Linked DNA regions of Arabidopsis thaliana. The protein of the gene in region 2 interacts with the protein of the main gene of each other region in a pairwise test. Each region holds a gene or a part of one and is shown on either strand. Other genes may lie near its edges. The genes, in order: AN3, GRF4, GIF2 and GIF3.

Region 1 (5,034 bases), on a different chromosome or scaffold from region 2:
CACATTAACTATAAAATTTATGGCTGTTATATAGAAAATAAGGTAGTATAAAATTAATGTCGTAAAAATTTAATATTTCTTTTAGGTATTAACCAAAATGAATTGATCATTTGTAAGCGTTTCAGAATCCTACCTTTAACTTCATAATCTCAATTTACAGTATGCAAACAACTATATTGGTCTGATAAAAAAGAAGAAATGGTATTTTTAGTTTTGTTCCTAGTGTTTTTGGTTTGCTTTTAGATGGCATAGAAACACTATTGGTTTGGTTATTGTCTATAAGACATAATTAATCGGGAAAAGAAAACAATTCATTTATCCTTACAGATTACTTTAATGTTCATACATAATACTATAGTTAAACAAACAAACATTAAAAGTTGAGCCTCCGTGGTTCATATATGCAGAAGGAATATCTCGGATCCATTTTTGGTACCAACGAATAAAGTGTTAATTAATATTTAACCACATCTACAAGAGGGTTTAACGTGGAATTAAGTATAACCACGCAAAGATAATATAGCTGTTGAATCTTTTTCTTTTTAAATTACCGACCATCGAAACGTACTTCAAGAATTCGAACAAAAAGTTAATGAGACTTATCAAATAACTCCAAACTAATTATTATTATTTTCTTTACAAAAGCATTTCAAAAACTTTAGAGACCCTTTGGTTGAGAATCATCAATATTAAACATTCAAACCAAGTTAGGGCAGTGTTTTGATGGTCGATAACTCGTCTTATTGGTCGAGACAAGTGATCGAGTTAGTATTAACATATGTAAAAAAAAAGAAACATGTATTGATCATTGTTGAGGATAAATTTCATCTATTAAGATATCAGTCAATTATAATGTGTTACGTGATTCGATAAAAAAAAAAGACCAAAAAAAAAAAGAAGATAACTATTGGTAAGCGTAAGAAATGTGTTTACATTTTGGCATTTTGCCAAAACACATAAAGATGGTTAGTGATGAGACGAGACGAGTCATGCGCTACTTTTAAAACAAAATGAAAAACATCATTAAGCTAACAAACCAAACACACTTGTTTTGATAACATGTTCTAGGGAACTAGTTATGCCAAATCTAATCCGCATAAGAAGACTAAGTCACAACATAATTCAGTAATTTGGTTGAGATTAAATCCTATAAATATGATTTTAAGGTATAAGAGAGAAGAGACTCTTTTGATCAACACAATCAAACATCTACAAAGAAAATTATCTCACATAGCTACTTCTTAATCTAATTTTTTCATTAATCCATTTTATTTTAAATGTGAAGAATCGCATCTAGATGTGACCTCTCATGATAAAAAATTAAACCATTGTAAAAAAAATGTTGTGTAAAACTAAATATAATAAATTATTAAAAAAATACAAATTCAATCCACTAGGTTAAAAACTCCTATGTAGAACATTTTTTTATATTAAAATGTAAATACATGAATCTTATTTTTCGAAAAACTAAAGACATCTTTTTTTTATATATTAATTACCAAAACAAAATAAGACGACAAAAATATTCTTTGATATAGTAAAAGAAAACTAGAAAACTAGAAAACAATAAATTACCAAAACAATCTAGAAAACAATAAATCCTACTTTGCATTACTTTATTATAAAATCCCGAAATGAATCTATAAATGTAGAAAATATTATACAAAAGTTGTAAGAGATTTTAATATACATAATTACATATATATACAAGTAAATACACCGTATATACATACGAAGGAGTAAACAGTATTATTTGGTATATAGTTACGTCTCTATATACGAAGGGTTCAAACTTCAAAGTAATAATTTAATCAACAATGTGTACATATTGATAAGTAGTAGTATATATGTAAAGGTCTCACGTCTCTATAATAAAGTATGACTCGTCACGTGACCTCCTCTTCTTCGCAGAGACAGAGATAGGATGAGACAGAAAGAAACCAACAAAACCAAACCCCAAAACCCAAGAAAAAGAGAAAAACACTCTCTTCTCTTCTCTCTCTCTCTTTCTATTTAAGAGACTTCACTGTCTCTCTCAGTCTTTTAACGCAAAACAACTTTTGTGGAGGAGAGAAAGCGAGATAACACACACACAGAGATACACATCTTCAATAGTTAAGAGTTTTCTATATACAGAAGCATAGAGGAAAGAGAGAGAGACAGATACAAAAGTTAATATCTCTCTCTCTCACTTGGTGAGACTTCTCTTTTTCCTCTGGGTTTTGTGGTGGGGGTTGTCTCTATAAAAACTTATATATATAAAATATATAAATAAATAAGAAGGAATTATCAGGTTTTATATAAAATAGCAAAAGAAATGCAACAGCACCTGATGCAGATGCAGCCCATGATGGCTGGTTACTACCCCAGCAATGTTACCTCTGATCATATCCAACAGGTTCTCTTCTCCTTCTCCTCCTTCTCCTTCTTCTTCTATTATATTATCTCTTTCTTTTTTCTTTATTATATGTTTCTTTGAATTCATAAAGGAAAGTGAAGAAATCTCTCTTGCAAGTACCTTATAACTTTTTCTTTATATTATATAAAAAAGTATGTGAAACCCTTTTCTTCTGTTCTCATAACATAGATGATTTTTTTTCATTGGTTCTTTTTTGTTTGGTAAAAGAGTTCTTGTTATTCTTGTTTCCATGTCTTTTTTTTTCATAGAGAAATTAGTTTTAATACATGTGTGTTTATGTTTGATAAATTTGGTTGGTAGAGATGCTTTGGTCACTAAGATGATTCTTTCAACTTTTTTTCTTTTCCTTATAGATTTGGTGTATTATCAGTTAACTTTGATGCTAATTAAATGTCTAAAACCAGACAAAGTTAAGAAAGATTCTTTCTTTCAATGAAAATGAATGTTTAGGGTCCAGTTGTGTTTTGAGTTCTTGAAACATGTAATGAAAAATAACGTGTTCAAAACAGACAAATCTTGGGAACTGAAGATTTGTTTCACATATCTCGTTTTTTCTTCTTGTCTTGGTTTTCGGGTTCTGGAAGTTTCATTGATGGCAAAAACCACAAAGCCATTTATGTGAATATTGTGGGTGGTCCTGTTTAGATTTGTTATCATTATAAGTAGATCTATGTGTATTTTCCAGTCCAAGTGTTTCTTTTATTGCTTACATGACCAGATATACTTTGTGGTCCGAAACAACATCTGGTCCTTATCTCAGTTTTTTTTTTGTGTGGTCCTCAAAATCTTTTCGAAGAAAATCTTTCGTTACACTTTTGTGATATTTCAACATTATTGTCTTTTGAGATAAGTCGGAATTTAAGTTACTGGGGTCTCCTTTTGAGATTTTCTATGTCTTTATTACAACAAAAACAAAATAGTATGCAAATTTTTTGTTTGTAGCATTAGTAATGATTAATGAAAATGTTTGATTGTAGTACTTGGACGAAAACAAATCGTTGATTCTGAAGATTGTTGAGTCTCAAAACTCTGGAAAGCTTAGCGAATGCGCCGAGTAAGAGACAACATATCTCCTTTATGATTTCACTTGTGTTCTGTTGAGTAACAAGAAATGATGATTAAAATGGTTATAGGAATCAAGCAAGGCTTCAACGCAACCTAATGTACCTAGCTGCAATAGCAGATTCTCAGCCTCAGCCACCAAGTGTGCATAGCCAGGTGATTGTTTATACAGTGAAGTATTCCAAATTTTGTTGTATGATCAATTGAGAAAGTGATTTGTTTTGTTTGGTTATTAGTATGGATCTGCTGGTGGTGGGATGATTCAGGGAGAAGGAGGGTCACACTATTTGCAGCAGCAACAAGCGACTCAACAGCAACAGATGACTCAGCAGTCTCTAATGGCGGCTCGATCTTCAATGTTGTATGCTCAGCAACAGCAGCAGCAGCAGCCTTACGCGACGCTTCAGCATCAGCAATTGCACCATAGCCAGCTTGGAATGAGCTCGAGCAGCGGAGGAGGAGGAAGCAGTGGTCTCCATATCCTTCAGGGAGAGGCTGGTGGGTTTCATGATTTTGGCCGTGGGAAGCCGGAAATGGGAAGTGGTGGTGGCGGTGAAGGCAGAGGAGGAAGTTCAGGGGATGGTGGAGAAACCCTTTACTTGAAATCATCAGATGATGGGAATTGAAAGAGTGTGGCACAAGGAATCTTAATGATGAAGCAGCAGCAGCAGCAGAAGAAGTAGTAGTAATAATAGGAGTCTTGAAGTTAGTGTGTTTTGGTTTTAGTTGCTTGTTGAAGAAGCAAAGAACTCTTTATTTACTTCTTTTTAGTTTTGTTATTCTCTCTATGTTTGTTCCCTAAAACAGTGAACCTCTTTCGTGGTAGTGTACCATGTAAATCTGCTGGCTCCAAGTTGTGTCGTAATCTTAATATGTTATTTCTCTGAGTTAGACTCTTTTGCTTTAACCAGGACTGAAGTTTTGTAGATCATTGATGTTACCTATTTGGATTCTAAATCGTTATGTAGGCTATATTATTGTTTTTTTTTTCTGGCTGTTATACATAATTTTATTTTATAGTTGATAAAGTCCAACCGGTTCAGTCCAAGACTCATATGACCAGCCTTAGTGGTCCTCGCAAGGTCCCATACTGCTGAAGACCGGACCATAGCCACCCGAAGCTGCACTCAAACCAAAGACCATATTCGGGTCCATTTAAGATAAAGTCTCGTGAAGAAAAGAGGGTTTCAAAAATGTGTCTTTTGGTCCCTTTGCTTCGTCCTAGATTCTTCAAGTAGTATTGAGTGTGGATTTCCCTTAGTTGAGAGTTCCATCGACGATTGTTTTTCTAGTGTCTGGATTCCCCTAGGAGGCCAAGCCCAGCCCCTGCTTTTTACAACTCAATCACAAGCCAAGAGAAGTCTTCAGTTATTCTATTACTTCCTTCCCTTTGGCAAAACTATAAGCCTTGAAACAATATGTCACAAACACTAGTTAAATGTTTAGACCGCACCACCATAGGCCCCAAGTATGTATTTGACATGTTGGCTTCATGCCTGCTCTACTAGACTTCATTTTTGTCTAACTGGTAGTGCGCTATTTCGAAAACTAGA
Region 2 (4,745 bases):
AAAGTTAGTCTAGATAATCAACATTTGTTTGGTTGTTTTGTTACCATTAGTATTACTGCATCTGCATGTAATCTTTGTTCGTGTTCATGATTGAAAAAAGACATACAATATGTCATTACGTTCACACTTTGCTTTCAGTTTGTTTTCCTTCGATATCATTATCTTTGGTATATGACAAGTTCTGGCCCAAAATATTAGTGCACAGGATCCATTATTACTTTATTAGTTAAGACCCATCATTAGTGCACAAGATCCATTATACTATCAAGTATCAACAAAAAATATTTCTATTTTAGAGGCTAATATTTTGTTTAGGCCATTTGCGAAATATTTTTTCTATTCTAAAAAAAAAAACGTAAAATGTTTATTAAATTCAGTTGCCGCTTTATACTTGTTACAAAGATTTTTGTTTTTCAAAAAGGAAAATTTTACAAAGTCAAAAAGAACCTATGGTATATTTTGAAAACAAAGTTTATTTTGGGTGTTATGTTATGATATTCCTCTTCTTTTTTATTTGGTTCACAAGATTTACAGCAAATGAAGTGTACATAACATTGAACTGTACTTAAGGAATTGAGTTTTTCTTATATTTTTCTTAGTGCAAATATAAATGCCGCCGAAACTGGTGGGAATGAATGAAAAGAAAACTCAAGAAACTCTCTCAATAGTCATCATAGTCTTTGGTTGTGGCTCACTCCTACATGAAATATCGTTATCGTCCTTCTCATATTTATTACTTTATTTCCTCAAAACTACAAAATAATGCTATCGTTTTTTGTTTTGGCACCACCAAATAAAGATACTTTGAAAATCATAAATGTCTTTTGTATTATTCAGCCAAGTGAAGATATCAAATAAATGTTTCTAACTTCATTTTAACAAATGTTTCCAAGTTTACTTGGCCTTTTCTGGTAATAATATGATTCCCTCCTTTCGATGTGTTTAGATATGTACATATACTACTAGCTAGCCATGTCTTTTTAAGATAACACAAAGATAAATGTCCATTTCTACATTTATATAAGGAAGTTATAATTTTTTTTTAATAAATCAAACAAACACAGACGTTACATAATATTTTATGAGTAACAATAATATTGTAACAGATGAGAAAAGTAATGACGGTTACAAATTAAAAGACAAATATGGTTAAACCACTAAAATGGTAAAGTATTTGGAAAACTTACTAACCAAAGAGAGTAAATAGAGCTGAGATTGTATTGTAGCTCTCTGCAAATGGAGACTATTTAGTCAAAACCCAAATGATTAATCATGCTTAGAAGTTAGAATCTCATACATTTGTAACACAATCTCTGAGACAAATGACATCTGTAAGACAAAAATTGAAGGTTACTCTACATCACATTAAATGAATCCTTAATAAAAAAACATAATAACAATATCATAATAGGCATCTCTTTAACCTACTTAAGGAATATTAAAATGAGGTAAAAAAAGGAAGTGATATTTCCAAGGCAGTGAGACATAAACACTGCAGGTTACTATCTCTCCATCTGCATCTTGCAGTGCTTTCTCTCTTTGTTTTCTGACTTACATAATTTTTATATCACATAAAGTAACAATTTATTAAACCTATCAATCAAATATTATATACTAATTTTGTTTATCCTATCAACTGTCTTGTCTCATAGTCTAAACACTTTTCTCTAGCTCTCTCTAACAAAAGAGTGAAGAAGAAAAAGTTTTTTATTTTGGGTATTTACATGACAAGCCAAACAAATAAGACTTTTGTTGTGGTTGTCTTTGCTTATTAAGCCAGACTCTCTAAAAACAAAAGAAGTGAGGGTAAAAAAACTATCCCAAAAGCAACCAACACATTTCTCTGTCTGTCTCTCTTTCTCTCTCTCTCACTCACTCTCTCTTTGTTCCATGGACTTGCAACTGAAACAATGGAGAAGTCAGCAGCAGAATGAGTCAGAAGAACAAGGCTCTGCTGCAACTAAGATATCAAACTTTTTCTTTGATCAGATTCAGTCCCAAACTGCTACTTCTGCTGCTGCGGCTCCTCTTCCTCTCTTTGTCCCTGAACCCACTTCTTCCTCTTCTTTCTCTTGCTTCTCTCCTGACTCTTCTAATTCTTCTTCTTCTTCCAGGTTCCTCAGTAAGTTGTTTTAAAAGGACAAGACTTATTCACTCTAATGTTGAAGTTGTTTTTGCTGATATTTAATCTGACGTTTCTATGTTACATATATATGTAGAGATGGGAAACTTCTTCAGCTGGGCACAGTGGCAAGAACTTGAGCTACAAGCACTGATCTATAGATACATGTTGGCTGGTGCTTCTGTTCCTCAAGAGCTTCTCTTACCTATTAAGAAAAGTCTCCTCCATCAATCTCCTATGCATTTCCTTCACCATCCTCTTCAACATAGTTTTCCTCATCACCAACCTTCTTGTCAGTCTCTCTCTCCTCTCTATTGTTTATGCTTCTCTTATCCTTGAAATAGTCTTTCTTTGTAAAAAAGATTCCCTTTGTTTTGGTGTTGGAGTTATATTTCCAAGATCTAAAATAAGTATAAGGCTGCTCTGCAACCTTGCAAGGAGTTAAAACCCTATGTGTATGATAAGCCTATTTCTAGAAGATCTATTAGCAACATAGATAGAATCAGACAAGTACATTTCGTAACCAATGTCTTGAGTGAGATTTATGTTTGTTGTTACTAATGAACAACACACACTTAATAAAAAACAGGGTATTGGGGAAGAGGAGCAATGGATCCTGAGCCAGGGAGGTGTAAGAGAACTGACGGCAAGAAATGGAGATGTTCAAGGGATGTTGTAGCGGGCCACAAGTATTGTGACCGCCACATTCACCGTGGAAGAAACCGTTCAAGAAAGCCTGTGGAAACCGCCACAACCACCATCACAACGACAGCCACAACAACCGCATCTTCTTTTGTCTTAGGTGAGGAGCTTGGTCATGGACCAAACAACAACCACTTCTTCTCCTCTGGTTCATCTCAACCTCTCCACCTTAGTCATCAACAAAGGTACAATAAAAAAACACAAACACTCTGTTTAATTAAAGTCATTAGTAGATTTGGTTAATTACAAATATTGTTGTTAGGGAAATAGTGATTTCACTGTGAAGTAATGCTGTGAAGAAAGGGGTAATGTTGGCAATAGGGTGACAAGAGAGACTTATCATACATACTTTGTGATAAAAACATTATTCTTTCTTTTGTTGAGAGATAATGATAACAGTTGGATTTGATAGAATCTAATTTTATTTACTAGTTGGGTGAGACTTTTCAATCATAGAAATAGAAAAGAGAGAGAAAGTTAAAGAGATATGTATACTTATGTTGTATTTGAAATAATGACATGGTAGGACCTCAGTGAAAGCTGACCAAACCTGCATAGAAGCCAAACAAAATAAAGCTCTCAGATTCTGCAACCACTTCCTCTTATTAACACACACATTTGACTGATTAAATTATTTCTCTAACCATTTTGTTGAATTGATCAGTCTACTTATTATTGTTCAAATGTTGGATCTTTTTGTTGACAATGTTTATGTTTATGTTTATTCCTCTCTGTCACAGTTGTTCTTCAGAGATGAAACAAGAAAGCAACAACAACAAGAGGCCATATGAAGCTAACAGTGGATTCAGCAATGGAAGATCAGACGATGGTCACATCTTGAGGCATTTCTTTGACGATTGGCCACGATCATCAGACTCTACCTCCAGTCCAATGAGCTCATCCACTTGTCATCTTTCAATCTCCATGCCCGGTAACAACACGTCCTCAGATGTTTCTCTAAAACTTTCCACAGGCAATGAAGAAGAAGAAGAGAACATGAGAAATAACAACAATGAGAGGGAGCAAATGAATTGGTGGAGCAATGGAGGGAATCACCACAACAATATGGGAGGACCATTAGCTGAGGCTTTGAGGTCAGCTTCTTCGACGTCAAGTGTTCTTCATCAGATGGGAATCTCTACTCAAGTTTTTCATTAAAGAAAAGTGTTTGTAATCTTTTTGGTTTGTGCTCTTTGAATCTTTATTTTCTGCAGAAAATAATCTTTGAATTTGTCTTCTTTTGGAATTGTGAGTTCTGCTTTTGGAATTGTTTTGTTCCTTACTCTGCTATTATATTTATGTTTAAAGCTTGACAATTTTGTATAAGCAATGAAACTAATATGATCCTCTGCCTGCAAGTAAGTACAGGAGAGGTGGTTACTTGAGCTTTTCACTTAAGCTAAACCGAATCAATTTTGGGAAACCAGTTAAACCACCTCGAATTAACCGGTTCCCGGTATAATGTAAAACCAAAACCCTGATAATCACCGGCATCGTATAGATTGATTAGACGGTGAAGTCTCGAACTTAACCGGAATAAACCTTTTCCGGTCCATCTCTAATTCACAATCTTGGGGTTTGTGCTTGCTTGCTTCAATCGCGAAGACATTTAGCAGAACCATTTGTCGTTTCCTCTCGCCAGATTCCGTGCTCCGGAGCCAGAAAGTTTCCGCCTTTAAAGTACGTCAAGATTTAAACTTTCTGATTAATTTCTAAAACCCTTTTTCGAAATGTTTGTTTGATGGTCTGATTAAAGTTTTTTTTGTACAATAATTCTCAAATTTATGCAATTGATATGTGAATTTTTAGTCTTGATTTGAACAAGTGTTTTGGAAGTTTGATTCACTTACTTTTGATCAGGAAATGAAGTATGTGAAGCCATTGAGCTTATTGGGTAATGCGCTGAAGACCAAAGTGTCAG
Region 3 (4,264 bases), on a different chromosome or scaffold from region 2:
TTTTTCACCTTTGTTTCCGAAACATTTGGTACTTGTGCGACAAGTTATCTCCCCATAGTCTTAAAAGATTAACCTATTTTTAAGTTCTTCAAAATTATATCCATAATTCCCATATGATTCTCTTTTTCTCAATCCTCTGTTTTGTTTAAAGAAGGGTACAAAACAAAAGACTAACAGAGTGGGACGGCTACTACAAAAGACACGTTATCTTCTCTTAATATCAACATAAGGGATACAAAGCGAACATCATCTATAAGGACTACTGTTACCAAAAGATCTACACGGAGGAATCCGAAACTGCGATTACAAGGAAGGACTAACATCAAAGTCGTCACACTACTATACTGCCAATTCAAAAGGTCACTAGGATTTGTCTTAATGTTTTTGATATCAAATGCGTCATTTAATACTTCTAAGGATTTTATGGTGAAAGGAATCACATACGCACCATATTTCTCCATTTGTCCTTAAGATCGGAGGAATTACGAGTTGTGTGGAATATACCTTTTCCCATCTCCAAAATCTTCTTCCAAGGCATGTTTTTGTTGATTGTATCAGAAAATTTCTCCACTCCCTCCTATCCAAAATAAACATATACTATAAGTTTAAGCTAAAAGTGTATTTCAAGAAAAAAGTGTGGTGGTTTTACCCTCAACATCTTCTCTTCGTTGACTGTCCATAGTACCCTTTTTGGCTGATCATTAACAACAGCATAAGCTTCTCCGCAAGATTTCTCCATATCAATGAATTGATCTGTTGACTCGTCTAACTGGGAATTTCGAGCCTTAAGGTGCTTGACCAGTTCTTGTAATTGATGAAGGTTCTCATGTAGTTGCATTGGTAGTGAATTATCAGAACCATTCTCTAGTTGACTGTTTTCTCTCGTCATGACTATATCTCCACTCCTCAGCTCACTACATCCATATTGAACAAGGGTCTTCGCAGCTGCAACACCCCTTGTTCTCAAAGCCGTGGATCTAGTAGCTTGCTCCTTAAACCAACAATAGGGACAGTAAAAGGTTGCAGGATCTTCACAATCAAGCTCAACACACTTCCTGTGAACAGCGAGAGGGCATTCATTCCCAGAACAAGGTACTACACCATCGTCTGCAATATCGCATACAATACATGCGTGTTCGTTCAACGGCTCAAAGCTTCTGAAAGTGTCACTTGTCCCAAGGTAGTGGCGCTTCTTAAGAGGCACATTATCATAAGTGAAAATGTTTGGAGCAGAGTTGACGTCCTCATCACCACCATCATCACACTGAACAATACAATGAGCAATGCGCTTTTCTCTCACAAAGCCAATTTCTTCAACAATTTCACCTATCTAAGATAGAGAAGAAGATAAATCCAAGTAAGAGTGTTTACACAAAATTGAACTAAATCGACCAATTTAAGGTTATCTAAGACCAATTAAGACATAATTTGTTCTAATTACACAGTAAAAAATATCAAATTGTTCTCTAACGTATCACAAGCGACATCCGAGTAAAGACTAAAATTCGAGAAAAAATAAATTAAAGGTTTCTTCTAAAAGGGGTGCTTACATAAGGACTCTTGAGGAGAGCGATATCATCTTCATCAAGCGGGAGATCACTCACCATTTTTTTTCAGATTCCGAGTGAAGATTTGAGAAATTCGAAGGGTTTACGTGAGATTTCTTAACGAATAAGAAAAAGAAGCTACTGTATGTTACCGTTTGGTCTCTCTGTAAGTGTGTCTGAGGTTTCGAAATTTCGAATTTAGGCGAAGAAGGAAGAAACTGACTCAATGTAGTACTTTGCAATGTAACTTTCTCGATGGTCCATGGGCCTTAGAACCGTCTTAGGCCCAAATATGTCCTTTTTTCCCATTGGCCCAAATATATCCAAAACTTTCTAATTTGGTTAGAGGTTGCTCGTTGCTGTATTAATTAATGTTTTATGTTTTCGTTTAGAGTTTTGTAAAGACAAATTAGAGAGAGAGAGAGAGAGACAGAGGCATTTTTGGTCATAAAATCCACACAGAGGTGGTTCGACATCCAGGTGAATCCAAGTAATAAATTGCAGGATTCTCTCTCTATAATATATATAGATATAGCTTGCAATCATTTCCTGCGTTTGGATCGGTCTGGGTTTTGTCGAGGGTTTTTTGGGGAAGACGAAATTAGGGTTTAGTTGGGGCAAAGTAAGTAGTAAAGAAGAAGAAGATGCAGCAGCAGCAGTCTCCGCAAATGTTTCCGATGGTTCCGTCGATTCCCCCTGCTAACAACATCACTACCGAACAGATCCAAAAGGTTCCTTCTTTCTCACCCTATATCTCTCCCTCTCTCTTAATTTGTTCAACACTACTTAGGAGGCTCTTAGAGCTTTTTTGTACTGACAAAATCATTGGCTTCTGAGTGCAAGTAATACTCTTTTGACTGTAATTGGTGGCAATTAGGGTTTTCATTTGAATCTTTCTCGTTAATTCCACAACACTTGAGAGTCTGTTGTTGGTGATGATGAGAAGAGACAGTTTCTAGGACTAGGAAATTAGTAGATGCTTGGTGGGTCAGGAAACTTTGAATCCGGTTTTCAAGAATGGACATTGAAGTTAGATGCTTGCTTGATGTTGTTGTTTTGTACTTTCTCTTGGCTTGATGTCTTCCATGGTAAGATGATAGGCTGCATCGTCATTTCCTTGTCATTCTCTTTCCTTTGCTTAAACGCAGTACCTTGATGAGAACAAGAAGCTGATTATGGCCATCATGGAAAACCAGAATCTCGGTAAACTTGCTGAGTGCGCCCAGTAAGTCTCACCTTTTCTATCCATCTTCTTATGTCTCTTAGATAGTAATGGAAGCTTAGAATTACTATTATTAATGGTGAGGTTTATATAGTTATTCTATCTTTTGCTCTGTTATATTTTCAGGTACCAAGCTCTTCTCCAGAAGAACTTGATGTATCTTGCTGCAATTGCTGATGCTCAACCCCCACCACCTACGCCAGGACCTTCACCATCTACAGCTGTCGCTGCCCAGGTTGTTTGTGATGATAAAACTCAATTGCGATCTATCACAGAAATTTAATGTTGTTTGGGGGTTTGCTTACTGTTGGGTATGATTTCTGTTAGATGGCAACACCGCATTCTGGGATGCAACCACCTAGCTACTTCATGCAACACCCACAAGCATCCCCTGCAGGGATTTTCGCTCCAAGGGGTCCTTTACAGTTTGGTAGCCCACTCCAGTTTCAGGATCCGCAACAGCAGCAGCAGATACATCAGCAAGCTATGCAAGGACACATGGGGATTAGACCAATGGGTATGACCAACAACGGGATGCAGCATGCGATGCAACAACCAGAAACCGGTCTTGGAGGAAACGGTAACTCTCTTTACATTATTAAGACAATACTCAATCTCATAAATTGTAACTTGTATCCATTACTTCTTTCTTTGCTAACAGTGGGGCTTAGAGGAGGAAAGCAAGATGGAGCAGATGGACAAGGAAAAGATGATGGCAAGTGAAAAGGATCCAAAGAAGCTTTGTTTTGTTGATATTTAGGACTTGTGAGTCTCGTAAGGGCTTTTTGCAATAGCTTGTTTGAGTTTTTTAACAGAAGATAGACTGTGGAGTAGTTCCGCAAACCGTGTTGTAATGTATTGTTATTTAGTACAAGCTCGGATTTAGAAAACATCGTCATCGTTCATCTTATTCTGAAAATCAAAGCATTGAACTTATTATTTTCTCATTCCGGACGAGTCTTGACGATGAAATTCTGACGGCTAATGGGATTCATAACAACGGGAGGACCAGCGGTTCTTGGCCATGCTTGGAATTTCTCATCCGTTGCTGCCCACCATTCTTTGTTAGAGACAGTTCCTGGAGTAGTCCCTGAAATTTTCACAAGAAGATAACCATTAAGATCGTCCCTAACTTGAAAACACACACAAAACTAGATAAATCTTGAGCAGAACTTGCCTCCAAAGATCTTATTATCAGAGATAACTTTGTCGAAGATGTATGAGATTCCGAAAGAACCGATGAGAGCACCGATTATGTACTTGGCTTTACCTCCTGATGCCATTTTCTTCTAAAGCTGAAAGTGAACCATTATTACAACTTAACACTCAACTCACAAGAGGAGAAGCAACAAAGCTTATGTAAGGATTTAGTATTAAGGCCAAAAAAACACAGATCAAATTCAATTATTGAAGCTTTACTTATCAAGTTATCATATAACCAATGAAGACGGTAATTCAAAAGAAAAATAAAAGGGTTTGTAGAATAATTGATACG
Region 4 (4,477 bases), on a different chromosome or scaffold from region 2:
AGAGTTATCTACATTGGAGTGCAGTTGAAGGCTGTTTCGAATATGATTGATTGATTTTGTTTCAACTTTCAATCAAGGGTCGATGTCAGAACAAGTTGGAAATTCAAGGCCTTCAAGGGAAGTTATGTTATCGATATCGTCTTTAGAGTACAATGGGAGGAGCCAAAACGCCTTCTTCTTCCCAAAAACCTTCACAAGATGAAAACAAAGAGTTATATATTTAATTAACTAACAATCCATGGAATGATGAAAACAATAAAATCTCACCTGCTCGAAGTTTTTCTTCTTTCCTAAGTCATATTTCCATCTGACTTCTCCATTTTTCTCATGAACCTAAAAAAATAAGACAATGATTCAGAGAAGAGACTCATATTTTCAAGACTTAGATTGTTTGTGAAAGCAAGAACATAAAAGATTTACCTCAACTGAAGTAGTGTTGGATGAGAGAAGAGAAATATGCATGACTACGAAACAAAGAAGGCTGAGAACGAACGCAAAGTTAAGAACTGCATCAAGGGGATAGAATCTGTAAGAAACATAAAGACGGAAAATGAGACCCAGAAAAAAGCTAAGCACTTTCTGGGAAAAGGAAAACGAGAAAAAGAACCGTTTATACTCACCGAATGCCAGAACGAGAGAGGCCAGTTTACCCGGAGAAGAAGAATGCTTTATAGCTTGGCTGAAGAATTCAATGAAACTAGGAAGCAAGACAATAACATCCAACATTGTCTCAAGAAAAGTATAGAACTACAAATTAAAAAAAGAGGGTGAAGAAATCAGCAAATCAAATAATCCCAATGCTCGCTTAAACCTTTTAAGAACCATAAGAGACTACAATGGAAATGAATATTTACCAGAAAGAGAAGGAAAAACTTGTAATTGCGTGCTCCAACACAGTTTACAATCCAAACACAATGATGATCCATCTTAAGAACACATCTTTGACCTACATAAGGAAACAAAGAACCGAATAAAGCTTTCTTTCTCTATCAGTAGAAACACAAGCAGAACATAGTATAAACAAATCAGATTTCGCCTTACACACAGAACAATGATGGCAACGAGGCGGCTTAACATTCCGGCATTTGGTACAGTAACCTAAAGAGCCAAAAGCTCCTTGATCTGTCGAAGTACCAGCCTCCAAACTGTCACCACCTCCCATTTCTCTTCTGAAATGCTCAGGAACAGAACCTGGGTCTGTAAAAACTGTTGTGAAGTAGCTCCACAACAGCATTATCAGCTGCAAAGAACCAAGCAAATCAGAAGTATAATTGTAAACCTAAACTCAGGGAGCCTAAACATTTACTAACAATCAATGGTCTAAACAATGATTATGTATCTACACTGCTTCATGCTTCATAACTACATTGCATTTCTCATTCTCTTGGCTACATAAGTTTCATGCCACATCCCTAAGTTTAAGGTTTAGGGGTTAAGTAGCAGAAAACCTAGACTTACAATTCCAGAAACAAAACCTAATCTGAAATTATGAGACTTGGAAATTACCAGGAAATGGAAAACAAAGATGATTAAGGCAGCGAGGGCGGATAAAGCTCCATGGTCTCCGCGGATCAAGATCGGCCACCATGTGCTAACTACGACGGCGTAGTAAGATACACCAACGACGGCGACGACAAGAAGGATCATGAAATAGCCGAGGACTTTCAGACCGGAGCAGAACCGGAAAAGGTTCATCTCCAGCCTGGTCAAAGGGAGAATCCGGACAATTCTTCGAGTCCGAGCCGGGAACAACCGCCGTAAAATATCCGGAGCCACGGTGAGGGATCGGAGTTTGCTTGGTTCGGAGGACAACGACGAATCGCCGTCGTGGAGCTGATATTGATACAGATTTAAAGTAACCTTCTTCTTGACACAGAAGCTTTCATAATTCTTTATAAGGCCCATTAACAGGCCCAATAAATAATAACAGCTACAAATGTTGTCTTTTTTTGGTTATCGTAGAGCTGACGAAAAATCAGACAAGGTGCCACGTGTACATTCGGTGGGGGAGACAAATTAATTGGTTGGGGGACTTTTTTGTCCTACGATTTCCCAGAAACCTCGTCGGCGAAATTCAAACAAATCAAAAGTCTTAAATTTAAGGATAATCCAAAATATTCGTTTGTTGAATATTTTTGCATCAGTTTGTTTTGCATTGGGCTCTTAAACCAATTCTATCACTCAGAATTATTGTTTTGTAATAATCGTGAGAAGAAACTTTAGGGTTTCACTGTTTCAGAGTTTTGATTGGTGAATTATAAAAGATGCAGCAATCTCCACAGATGATTCCGATGGTTCTTCCTTCATTTCCGCCCACCAATAATATCACCACCGAACAGATCCAAAAGGTTACTACTTTACTTTCTATATTTTTTGTCTTTCTGTTGTTTAGTCATAATGTCTGTTTATCGTAGCTTTGAAATTGGTTGTGTAATGATGTTTTTGAGTAGTTTAAACTGTTGTAATGAACTTTCCTTCTTGAGTATGATTTGTTTTAAAGTGTCATTGTTTTCCGCTTTAACTTTTTTTTGTTACTGGAATTGGATGTACAATCATGAGTTTGGAGTTTTTTTTTGAGTGAAAACAGAGTATTTGTATGCATATGAGATTTGAAAGCTTAAAATCAGATTGTGAAGATGACATGTTGACACAGTGAGTCACTTATTGCTGCTTCTTGCAGTATCTTGATGAGAACAAGAAGCTGATAATGGCGATCTTGGAAAATCAGAACCTCGGTAAACTTGCAGAATGTGCTCAGTAAGTGTGGGATTCTCGATACCAAGACCGAGCTATGTTAGCTTTACTGATGGTAAATAGAATATTAATAATAAAACATGGTTCTTGCTTGATTCTTTTAGGTATCAAGCTCTTCTCCAGAAGAATTTGATGTATCTCGCTGCAATTGCGGATGCTCAACCTCAGCCACCAGCAGCTACACTAACATCAGGAGCCATGACTCCCCAAGCAGTAAGTTTCTGTTTTGATCAGTTGAAAAACAAAACATTTTGGTTCTTATAGTTTGTGTGTGTTTGGTTTCTGTAGATGGCTCCTAATCCGTCATCAATGCAGCCACCACCAAGCTACTTCATGCAGCAACATCAAGCTGTGGGAATGGCTCAACAAATACCTCCTGGGATTTTCCCTCCTAGAGGTCCATTGCAATTTGGTAGCCCGCATCAGTTTCTGGATCCGCAGCAACAGTTACATCAACAAGCTATGCAAGGGCACATGGGGATTAGACCAATGGGTTTGAATAATAACAACGGACTGCAACATCAAATGCACCACCATGAAACTGCTCTTGCCGCAAACAATGGTAATATTTGGTTTTACAGCAGTTTGGAACTTATTATCACATTACTGATTTTCACCTTCTTTCTCTACCAAAAGCGGGTCCTAACGATGCTAGTGGAGGAGGTAAACCGGATGGGACCAATATGAGCCAGAGTGGAGCTGATGGGCAAGGTGGCTCAGCCGCTAGACATGGCGGTGGTGATGCAAAAACTGAAGGAAAATGAAATAGAGGAAGAATAAGTGATGCTTCTTGTTGATATCAATTAGGTTCTACCTTTCATTTTTACTTTCTTCACGATGATATAAAAAAAAGGTTTTGTCATTTTATGAGTTAGTCTCTGTTAAAAGGGTTCTGAGACAGTTGAGTTTCAGTTCCTAGATGGATGTGGAATGGTTCACATTCACATGTACAATGTTAAATGTTGTTGTATGGTATTAGTGTCACCGGTTCAATTTGGTGTATGAACCGGGTTTAGAATCACGTTTACCTGATAGTTTGCCTCCAGGTTTGTGTGATAATTAATTCCAAGGCTTGAGATGAAAAGTAACAGTTTTAAAAATGTTTACAGAATCAGCGATAACAAAATTCCAAACCAAACAAACCAATAATGTCTTAGAAGTTTTTCTTTTTGGCTCGATTTCATTTATCGTCAAAATCAACAAACCTTACAAAAGTTATGCATCGGGGAAAAGCTTGATCCGAATAATGTGTTACGCATCAACACAAATTATTACTATAACCAGCTAGAGCAATCAGCCGATCCTCAAATCAAACACAAAAGAGCAGATATTCGAAAATGAATCCATAACGAATGAGAACGATGCACGAGAAGGCATCAAAAGTTATTCAGGACGTGACTTGACGATGAAATTCTGGCGACTGATAGGGTTCATGACGACGGGAGGACCAGCAACTCTTGGCCATGCTTGTAATCTCTCTTCAGTCGCAGCACCCCATTCCTTGTTAGTAATAGTTCCTGGTGTAGTACCTGAGAGTTCAAAACAAACCAAACCAAATTTAGCTTTCTGGATACATCATAAGTAGCTTTATAAGGTTTAAAACTTGCCTCCAAAAAGCTTATCATCAGAAATAACTTTGTCACACACGTAAGCTACTACCGCAGATCCCGCAAGGGCACCGATAATGTATGTAGCTCTCGACATCCTTAACCTGAAGTACATA

What was found.
Region 1: the proteins of GRF4 (region 2) and AN3 interact in binary tests that used the Arabidopsis thaliana proteins (3 or more experiments, as listed by UniProt).
Region 3: the proteins of GRF4 (region 2) and GIF2 interact in binary tests that used the Arabidopsis thaliana proteins (3 or more experiments, as listed by UniProt).
Region 4: the proteins of GRF4 (region 2) and GIF3 interact in binary tests that used the Arabidopsis thaliana proteins (3 or more experiments, as listed by UniProt).

What each region holds. Positions count from the first base shown.
Region 1 is NC_003076.8:10,646,904-10,651,937, reverse strand, and holds AN3 (SSXT family protein), read left to right. Parts: upstream 1-1,875; 5' UTR 1,876-2,317; coding exon 2,318-2,398; exon of another isoform or gene 2,399-2,550; intron 2,551-2,562; exon of another isoform or gene 2,563-3,396; coding exon 3,397-3,473; intron 3,474-3,552; coding exon 3,553-3,637; intron 3,638-3,717; coding exon 3,718-4,107; 3' UTR 4,108-4,471; downstream 4,472-5,034. UniProt on the Arabidopsis thaliana protein: Transcription coactivator that plays a role in the regulation of cell expansion in leaf and cotyledons tissues.
Region 2 is NC_003074.8:19,615,414-19,620,158, reverse strand, and holds GRF4 (growth-regulating factor 4), read left to right. Parts: upstream 1-1,651; 5' UTR 1,652-1,890; coding exon 1,891-2,122; intron 2,123-2,219; coding exon 2,220-2,414; intron 2,415-2,711; coding exon 2,712-3,009; intron 3,010-3,564; coding exon 3,565-3,982; 3' UTR 3,983-4,182; downstream 4,183-4,745. Other genes in the region: AT3G52905 (Polynucleotidyl transferase, ribonuclease H-like superfamily protein), read left to right, coding at 4,688-4,745. UniProt on the Arabidopsis thaliana protein: Transcription activator that plays a role in the regulation of cell expansion in leaf and cotyledons tissues.
Region 3 is NC_003070.9:70,392-74,655, forward strand, and holds GIF2 (GRF1-interacting factor 2), read left to right. Parts: upstream 1-1,965; 5' UTR 1,966-2,191; coding exon 2,192-2,278; exon of another isoform or gene 2,279-2,523; coding exon 2,524-2,625; exon of another isoform or gene 2,626-2,695; coding exon 2,696-2,772; intron 2,773-2,895; coding exon 2,896-3,004; intron 3,005-3,096; coding exon 3,097-3,349; intron 3,350-3,430; coding exon 3,431-3,492; 3' UTR 3,493-3,705; downstream 3,706-4,264. Other genes in the region: AT1G01150 (Homeodomain-like protein with RING/FYVE/PHD-type zinc finger domain-containing protein), read right to left, coding at 449-577, 650-1,330, 1,551-1,607; AT1G01170 (ozone-responsive stress-like protein (DUF1138)), read right to left, coding at 3,714-3,859, 3,947-4,052. UniProt on the Arabidopsis thaliana protein: Transcription coactivator that plays a role in the regulation of cell expansion in leaf and cotyledons tissues.
Region 4 is NC_003075.7:355,411-359,887, forward strand, and holds GIF3 (GRF1-interacting factor 3), read left to right. Parts: upstream 1-1,934; 5' UTR 1,935-2,264; coding exon 2,265-2,348; intron 2,349-2,680; coding exon 2,681-2,757; intron 2,758-2,858; coding exon 2,859-2,967; intron 2,968-3,042; coding exon 3,043-3,316; coding exon of another isoform or gene 3,317-3,390; coding exon 3,391-3,518; 3' UTR 3,519-3,927; downstream 3,928-4,477. Other genes in the region: AT4G00840 (DHHC-type zinc finger family protein), read right to left, coding at 73-189, 268-333, 421-506, 621-747, 855-946, 1,042-1,240, 1,507-1,695; ATOZI1 (monopolar spindle protein (DUF1138)), read right to left, coding at 4,138-4,283, 4,362-4,458. UniProt on the Arabidopsis thaliana protein: Transcription coactivator that plays a role in the regulation of cell expansion in leaf and cotyledons tissues.